Linked DNA regions of Arabidopsis thaliana. The protein of the gene in region 1 interacts with the protein of each later gene in a pairwise test. Each region holds a gene or a part of one and is shown on either strand. Other genes may lie near its edges.

The links.
Region 2: the proteins of ADS1 (region 1) and AT4G33380 interact in a protein complementation assay, tested with the Arabidopsis thaliana proteins (one large-scale study listed by BioGRID).

What each region holds. Positions count from the first base shown.
Region 1 is NC_003075.7:14,367,293-14,371,707, forward strand, and holds ADS1 (MATE efflux family protein), read left to right. Parts: upstream 1-1,584; 5' UTR 1,585-1,855; coding exon 1,856-3,454; 3' UTR 3,455-3,903; downstream 3,904-4,415.
Region 2 is NC_003075.7:16,070,081-16,075,460, reverse strand, and holds AT4G33380 (dimethylallyl, adenosine tRNA methylthiotransferase), read right to left. Parts: upstream 3,722-5,380; 5' UTR 3,398-3,721; coding exon 3,232-3,397; intron 3,142-3,231; coding exon 3,053-3,141; intron 2,981-3,052; coding exon 2,842-2,980; intron 1,812-2,841; coding exon 1,713-1,811; intron 1,582-1,712; coding exon 1,459-1,581; intron 1,343-1,458; coding exon 1,083-1,342; intron 967-1,082; coding exon 856-966; 3' UTR 547-855; downstream 1-546. Other genes in the region: AT4G33390 (WEAK CHLOROPLAST MOVEMENT UNDER BLUE LIGHT-like protein (DUF827)), read right to left, coding at 1-179; AT4G33370 (DEA(D/H)-box RNA helicase family protein), read left to right, coding at 4,056-4,145, 4,254-5,380.

The DNA.
Region 1 (4,415 bases):
AAATAACATTATGCAATCGTCAACATTACTACAAATCTATATATTATTTATAATTAATTCATCTATAAGAAACTTGCTATATGTTTTCATTTAATATTGGTTGGAAGGTTATTTAGTCAAAGAAAAGCCATTAATAGCTGGAGATTTAAACTCCATTGTGAATTACAAACATTTCTTAATATGCAAACCATTACGAAGATGTATCCGGGACTTAAGTTGCTGTTTAAGTCTAATTTGTTCACCGGATGGAGACAAAACATGAAATAACGGCTAAATTAATTGTAAACCATAGTTTTCAAGCTTTGATTAAAGAGTCAAGCGAAACATTAATTTTAGTGTTGGGTCTTTAATTATAAATCACCGATTTGCATTCAAGTTTTGATAAGATATCTAGTTCGACTCTTCGTTCGGTTTTGGTTTAGTAAGTAAACAATGGTAGCGACGCTAAGCATGGTTTGATTCATAACTTCATGTGGTAGGTTATGGCCTTGGACTTTACTTTGGTCGAAAAAATATATCATTTTAATATTTTCGCAAAATAATAATATATGTTTGATTTATTCTAAAATTCAATATAATTTACCAAATACTATATTTAACTATATAACTATTTCAAAAATAGTGTATTTAACAGAGATAAAATTCTATTTGTATAAGAAATTCAGCACAAAATAGTTTAAAACAAAAAGAATTTTACAAGGACATTTTCGTGAATTTTAAACAAACACATTAAAAATAAGAAGAAGACAAATTAAAAAGAAATTCAAAGTTAAGTAAATGCAAACACATTTTTTGTGCCAAATGGTCGTTTAAAAAGGATTCGAGAGTTCACGTGCAATGAACTTGTACTATATATGCTAATCAAAATCTACTTACTTTAAATTATTTAGACGTTACATTGAACTGTCTTTAGATAAAAGATGTACTGTAATATTGGCCTTGTCTATCTTAATTCATAATTTTATTTTAGTATACCTAGATTATTTTTGCTTATCCTTTACTGATTTTACAAAGTATTCAAGACCATAAACACTAGTATAGTAGTATTGAACTAAACTTAACTAGCTTGGATTTGACCAAGATCTATGCAATATATTAAGAACTTGTTATACATATATGTGGGTTAATAAGCCATATATACCTACACTCACAAATCTTGAATATAGATTGTGATACAACAGCAATATTAGTACAAACCATTGGATGCTCTACAATGTTTTGTCTAATTGACCAAAAATAAAATTTAACCTCATATCTTTCAACCACTTTTTTCATAAGATTAAAAAGTTTTGTCATATATTCTTAATTTTTTTCCCTTGACCTAGCTAGTAGGTTTTCTAAAATTTCGGATTTGATACGTATATTCTTATAGTTTGCTAATACGTATCGGATACAGCATCTTTGTGTATGGTCCACCAGTAAATTACATTTGGGTAAGTATTTGATTTTAGTTGATTTTTTTCCAACTTATGTCACAAATCATTCATGTATCAAAAAAGTTGATACATTGTCAATTTACTATTAATGTATTTATCCATATAAAGTGACTTCTAAAAGTATTTTAAATATACAAAAAAAAAGTAGCTTAGATTCTTTTTCATGAAAAAATTTCGAAAAATTAAAAATGAAGAAAAAAAAAATCCTGCCAACTCCTTTATTAAGATGGTAAGAGAGAGCTCTGAGAAGAGAGAAGCAGCACCAAAAAAAATTCATATCTCTCTTTCCTTTCAATTTTCTCAGTTGTTAAAACCTCTCATACTCATTAGAGAGCTCTTCACGAGAGAACTCTTTCTCTTTCCCATTAAAGATCAAATCTTTCTTCTTCTTCATCAACACCATCATCATCATCACCGTCATGTGTAACCCATCAACAACAACAACAACCACCGGTTCAGAGAACCAAGAATCTCGAACCGGACTCTTCCTCGATCTCTTCTCGATCAATAGCTTTGAACCCACAAAGAGAAATCTCCGGCATTGTGAGAACAGAGGATCTCCTCTTATGGCAGAAGCTGTAACAGAGGCGAAATCTCTCTTCACGTTAGCTTTTCCGATCGCCGTGACGGCTCTTGTCCTCTACCTACGCTCAGCCGTATCAATGTTTTTCTTGGGTCAACTTGGTGACCTCGAATTAGCCGCCGGTTCACTCGCCATTGCCTTTGCTAACATAACCGGTTACTCTGTTTTATCCGGTTTAGCTCTTGGTATGGAACCACTCTGTTCTCAAGCCTTCGGTGCTCACCGCTTCAAACTCCTTTCCCTAACCCTCCATCGAACCGTGGTTTTTCTCTTGGTTTGTTGCGTACCGATCTCGGTTCTCTGGTTTAACGTCGGCAAAATATCGGTTTACCTTCACCAAGACCCCGACATCGCGAAATTAGCTCAGACATATCTCATCTTCTCCCTACCTGATCTTCTCACCAACACTCTTCTTCATCCAATCAGAATCTACCTTCGTGCTCAAGGCATCATTCACCCCGTAACCCTAGCTTCTCTCTCCGGCGCTGTTTTTCACCTCCCGGCTAATCTTTTCTTAGTCTCTTACCTCCGTCTTGGTTTAACCGGCGTAGCAGTCGCTTCCTCCATCACAAACATCTTCGTCGTTGCTTTCCTCGTTTGCTACGTCTGGGCGAGTGGTCTTCACGCGCCTACATGGACTGACCCGACCCGTGATTGTTTCCGCGGGTGGGCTCCGTTGCTGCGTCTCGCGGGACCAAGCTGTGTCTCCGTGTGTTTGGAATGGTGGTGGTACGAGATCATGATCGTTTTGTGTGGTTTGCTCGTGAATCCAAGATCGACGGTGGCTGCTATGGGCGTTTTGATCCAGACGACGTCGTTTCTTTATGTTTTCCCGTCTTCTCTTAGCTTTGCTGTCTCAACTAGAGTCGGAAACGAACTTGGAGCCAACCGTCCCAAGACAGCAAAGCTAACGGCTACGGTGGCTATCGTTTTCGCGGCGGTTACAGGGATTATAGCGGCGGCGTTTGCTTACTCAGTCAGAAACGCTTGGGGAAGGATTTTCACCGGAGACAAAGAGATACTCCAGCTAACAGCGGCGGCGTTACCGATATTAGGTCTATGCGAGATCGGAAACTGTCCTCAGACGGTGGGATGCGGCGTCGTGAGAGGAACAGCACGACCGTCAACGGCGGCGAACGTGAACCTTGGAGCGTTTTATCTGGTGGGCATGCCGGTGGCAGTGGGTCTCGGGTTTTGGGCCGGAATTGGGTTTAATGGGCTTTGGGTAGGACTACTTGCGGCGCAGATTAGCTGCGCAGGTCTTATGATGTACGTGGTGGGGACCACAGATTGGGAATCGGAGGCTAAGAAGGCGCAGACGCTAACGTGCGCTGAGACTGTAGAGAATGATATTATTAAGGCGGTGGTGGCGAGTACTATAGACGGTGAGTGCGATGAGGCTGAGCCGTTGATTCGCATCACGGTGCTTTATTAATATTAATTAAGACAAAACAAAACAAAATTATAATCATCATAATTATTCCCATCTCTTTTCCATAGAAGGAGAAAGTTTTGCCTTTCTTTGAGAAATTTAACATTTTCTTCTTTTTTTGTACTTAAAAATTTCTTTTTTTTTATCTCCTTATTTTTTCCGATGCCCTTATGATTGGCCGTTTATATGGAGTATCTATGAGTTTTTTTTTTATAAACTACTACATATGCTAAATACTTGAATAAACTCACATGAATGCAAAAAAATAATCACATGATTTTTTTTTTGCTCACAACTAAACATTTAATTACACCCAATCTGAGACAAAAGATGTTGGGACCATATAGCTGGAGCGACAGAGAATTAATTCAAAATAATTTTTGAAATGTTTTTGTAAGTTAATAAGATAATATGGAGAGAAGAATTCACTGTTGAATTGTAGAGACTTATTATTATTTGAAGGAAAAAATCTTACTAATAAATAGAAAAAAATGGGTGATAAAAAAAGGAAAGAGAGTAATATGGTAATTTGGAAAAAAGTGGCAACCCTGTGGGAAACAAAAACTTGTGTCTCAAAGATTCAGACAGGTCTGAATGAATGTTTTGGATTCCCTATAGACTATAGAGTGCTGTTTTGTTCAGAGATGAGAGAGAGAGTGAGTGAGAGATATCAAGTCCCAAGGACCATTGTATTGCATCATCTCATAAATTATTCCTACATTTTATTTTTATTCTCATCATAAATTATTTTATCCATATAATTCTGCATTTCGATGGGTATGGTTTCTAGTTTATTATTCTTATTATATAAAAAATAAAGTTTTAAAGTTGACGATAAAATATGTTATGTAAACTTCACTATAGATATTTTTTTTCCATTTCATTCTATCATAGTGAAATTTGAGAATGTACATTGTATAAGATCATACACTTTTTTTTTTGTCGACAAAAATCATACACTGAA
Region 2 (5,380 bases), 1.7 Mb from region 1:
TTCCCATTTTCTGCGGAATCTTCTTCACTTTGAGATTGTTGAATTGTCCCATTTTCTTCTTCATTATTCTCAAGTTCTGTTGGTATTGCTTGAGGTAGCTGCAACTCAGGCTCTATTATTCCACCATTATCACTAACAACTGGAAGAGATAGTGCGTCTGTTGTTTTCAAATCCTCCATCGGAGGAAAGCAAGGCCGAAACTTACAAGAGAAATGCTAAAACGATTGAACGAAGCTCGCCACCAATAGAAAGAATCAATGAAAAGAGAGACTTACAAGAGAAAGGGAAAAATGAAGAAAGTAGAAGAGAATTATTGATTTTCTGATTAAGAAGACAAGAAAAGAGAGGTACACAATTGGAAAGTCTATATTTAGAATAGAGACAACCCCGGAAGCAAAAGATGAACACACTCCTCTGTTTTCTCTTTTCCCTCCGTAATTTCTGCTTTGTTTTTTTTAGTTCCTATATTTCAACCATTATTTCATTTCAGAGTTTTACTGTGATGTTTTGTGACATAATTACAGACCAGACATAAACATTTGATCTGATCATATAACAGGAGACAGACATTCGTCATGTTTATAGATAGCTTTTTAATCATCCACTATAGAATCGAACAAGCTTGAACAAAAACATGATTCCTTACACCATATTCGACTTCGACCACAAGTGTTTAAAGCCAATCAACAAAAACAACAAAACATTCTATTCCCTCGTATACATCTGGCCAAAAGATGTTTGCATCTTTGGTACGGTACTCCAATTTTCAAGACTCTGAAAATGGTAACACAGCTGAGAAAAAAAAACCAAAACTATCTCCTATTTCTCCCATCAATCTGTCCACATGGGTTTTGCTCAAGCCGTTACAACACCTGAAACCCATGGAACGATAGATGGCGCTTTTGGGTGGTTGTTTCTGTATGTCTCAGAATATCTGTCTTTGAAATTCTGTTTTGGCTTCTCTGCCTGCAATTCACATAGACATATTGGATATGAGCCAAGCTTCCAGTCCAACTTGGACGAGTAATCTCAAGGAAACTGAAAATTGGGTAAAGTAGTATGTGTACGAGGTAAGTTCTTACGTATTTAAGCCAACACTCCTGATGTTTATGCTCATAAATATCTGGAGAGAAACAACCAAACTCAGATGGGCAATAAACCCAAATATTGCATCTCGTTTCTCCAGGTTTCGCACGCTTTGCCTGGTCTAAGCAAGCCTGGCAACAATCAGCTGCACTCTCTTTATGATGTGTAAGCCCCCATCTCACTGCAGCACCACCATAATCTGTGTGAAGCTCTGCATTACATACAGCTGGCACTGGTCTGCCTGCCAATATTTCCTCTACGGAAAAAATGCACAACTTCATGAGATTTGAATTCGCCAGTGTCACCACACTTTTCCACCCAAATAAATGCAAAAGCAGAGATCAAGAATGTAGAAAATTTTGAAAACATTACCAGGCTCTTCCTCTCCTTCAGGTTTATCATCATGTTCTACATTGGTAACCTCAGCAGGTAACCAGAAACCGATTTCTTCAGACAGCACATCCCACTCCAACTCCAAAGCTCTTACAAGCATCCCTAGATAATTACAGAACAAAAATTAGTTTTCTCTCTAATTATACAAAACAAGGATAGAGTATCGGGAGGACTCCATAAATGAATCTTTGCTCAAGGTGAGAAACTCAGTAATCTTTCTAAAGGAGTAATACCTGCTTCCTCCACTATAAGGGTGGAATTTACTCCATTTTGCCCTTGAATTAGCTCTTTAGCTTCCTCCAGCTTCTCATTGCGCCACGTTTCTACAACTTCTGTTTGCCAAATGAAGATAAGAAGGTATTAAAGGTCACTACAGAGATAACATGAATGTGTCAAAAGGAAAACTATTGTAGGCGAAAACATTAACAAGTCTACGTGCATTACGAATACTACAAGGGAAAACAATAGAACTCAGTTTGAAGCATCAAAAAGAAATCCAGTGTCTTCAAAGTCTGGATTATTAGAATTTTGTCACCTCTCTCTAACCAAATAAATTAACCCATTCCTACCTTCCACCTTTTTCCAATAACTCTTGTAAATAACTAAGAATTAACGCACATTGCGCATTAGCCTAGTCAGCACATAATAAATGTTAAGAGTTGTTCAAGTGAAGTGAATAGAATGAAAAATCTACTTTTAACAAGTCAAAAAGGTAAATATCATGACTTTTTGGAATTCTTGAGCATACTTTTTCTGATGCAGTAGAAAGGAATTAGAGAAGCATGTTGAGACATACGAACATGTTAGGTAAGCTACTGAGAATCTAAAGAACATCGAAAAGATTATGTATACAATGGCACCACCGCTAGAGTTTCTGTGGCTCAAATGTTTCATGTACATAGCATATGATCATCAATGCATAGATTATAACAGAACTTAAGTGGGTGTTAGAGCTTATGTTCCATAGACCTGATGAACTTATACAAGAAGAATAGAAAAACTAGGCATGAAAAAATCTCCATTGAAAATCCCGCTAAAATCAATTGTTCTGTCTAGTATGTGATAGTGCATGCAGAAAGGTCTGAAATTTGTGAGCCTATTTTACTATCCTGATAACCATATGCATTATTGAGCAAAAATCCACTTCTACATGAATGATAATGAAATATTTACTAAACTGAGCTATTGATACCAACAAAATCTTACACAGGTTAGGTAATAAGACAAATCACCATGACATTCCAAAGAGGTAATAAGACAAATCCTAAGCAGCTAGATCAGGAAAAGTCATGAAATGCAAGTTTGTGGCAGTTTGAAAAATAAATGTCATGAAGCTAATGGGCATAGTAGAGTAGCACAAACCTCTAAGCTGAGTAACATTAGATTTGTCCTCAAAGCTTTTCAAACGCTGGAGGATCTCATCAACTAGTTTGTGTTTAACATTAGGAGATAGTTCAGTACTAGATTCTGCAGTGGAAACCTCATGCTTGAGCTTCTTCACCTAACAAGGAAATCAAACATTGTGAGAAGAGCCAATGTGCATCTTCGAGTTCCATTTTAAAAAGCCACTAACCAATTGAAGAATCAGAGTAGGTTCCTTCGATCTTCGAATCCGAATAGATTCCTCCATTTTCCTAATCTCATCAGCTGTGTACTTAACAACTGAATAACAAAAAACCAACAGAGCTGCTTCAGATACGAATTATCATGAATCAGAGAGCAAAAATGAAAAGGAAAATAAAAAGTAGGAACCATTATCGTTATTGGAATAGATGTGGAGAGAAGAAGCATAGAGAAAGCGAAGAACAAAGAGAGCAATGAGAATGTTGAAAAAGCAAACAAGTAGAGTGATTCTTTTGAAAGAGAGAACTCCGGTTCCGGCGATCCCTCCGGTCCATTCTCCTCCTCCCCTCGCCATCTCCCTCCGCCGTCATCCCACCATTTCTCAAGATCTCGCTTCCGATTATAATTACACTTTTGCTTTAAATCGAACACTTGAAAGAGAGATTCGATTTCTTTTTTTTTTGCTTCTTCTTCCGGCGGAAAAAGGAAATCGTGGGAGATAGAGAGAGAGAGCTTTTAATTATTACTCTATTAATTTATTTTTCACTCGACAGAGACAGAGATATATACCAATCTCATCAATGCGTGTGGATAAAAACGTCGTATGTATTTCTTTGGCAGCGTCTATACTAGATAGGAAGTTTTGTAGTATTATTTCTTGCAATTGTTATGTAAATACTACATCTTTAAATGTGGTGATAATCCTATGATTCATGTCATTGCCATTTTTCAATCCAATATATGAAAAAAATGGAAATTAAATTTTTGAAAAACTACCTTTTACCTAGCTCCTTGTCAACATACGAATTCTAATTGAGACTCTCTTCTTGTAGCTTTTCTTTTCTTTGCTTATAATCAGAAAACACAACACACCCGATCATTCCCCAACCCCGGTTTAACCAAAACTCCGTGTCGGTCATATCTATCTGCGTGATCTTCCTTGAAAGTCGAGAGATCTGCTGATTAGGGTTTGGATTCGATCTTTGAAAAAGTTGGCGAGTGGATTTTGAATCATGGAAGTAGATGATGGTTACGTGGAGTATGTTCCAGTAGAGGAGCGTCTAGCGCAGATGAAGCGAAAGGTGGTGGAAGAACCTGGCAAGGTAAAGCTCACTGAAGAAGCTAAACCTAGCTTACTTGTTCAAGCAACTCAGCTCAAGCGACATGTACCTTAAGTCAGTGCTACCGAGGCCATTATTTTACAAGAGAAGGGGATGATGGAGCATTTATCTGACAAGAAGAAGCTTATGTCTGTTGGTGAATTAGCCAGAGGTATCACTTATACAGAGCCTCTCTCAACATGGTGGAAACCCCCTCTGCACGTTAGGAAGATGTCAACCAAACAGATGGATTTGATTAGGAAGCAATGGCATATTACAGTTAACGGTGAAGATATTCCTCCTCCAATCAAAAACTTCATGGATATGAAATTTCCGAGTCCACTTCTCCGTATGCTCAAGGATAAAGGAATAATGCACCCTACTCCTATCCAAGTTCAGGGTCTTCCTGTTGTTTTGTCTGGCAGAGATATGATTGGGATTGCGTTCACTGGTTCCGGAAAGACGTTGGTTTTCGTGCTTCCTATGATCATATTAGCTCTGCAGGAGGAGATAATGATGCCTATAGCTGCTGGAGAAGGTCCCATTGCGCTTGTTATTTGTCCGTCTAGAGAGCTTGCTAAGCAGACTTACGATGTGGTTGAACAGTTTGTGGCATCTTTAGTCGAGGATGGATACCCGCGGTTGAGGTCGTTGCTATGCATTGGAGGAGTGGATATGAGATCACAGTTGGACGTTGTTAAGAAAGGTGTTCACATCGTTGTTGCTACTCCTGGAAGGTTGAAGGATATCCTCGCCAAGAAAAAGATGAGCTTAGATGCTTGCAGGTTGTTGACACTGGATGAAGCAGATAGGTTGGTTGATTTGGGTTTCGAAGATGACATAAGACATGTCTTTGACCACTTTAAGTCTCAGCGTCAAACACTTTTGTTTTCTGCCACAATGCCTGCAAAAATCCAAATCTTTGCCACAAGTGCTCTGGTGAAACCTGTAACTGTTAATGTAGGAAGAGCTGGAGCTGCGAATCTCGATGTCATACAGGAGGTTGAATACGTCAAGCAAGAAGCAAAGATTGTTTACCTTCTGGAGTGTCTGCAGAAAACCACTCCACCGGTTTTAATATTCTGTGAGAACAAAGCTGATGTTGATGATATTCACGAGTACTTGTTACTGAAAGGAGTGGAAGCAGTGGCTATCCATGGAGGAAAAGATCAAGAAGACAGAGATTACGCAATATCTTTGTTCAAAGCTGGGAAAAAAGACGTTTTGGTCGCGACCGA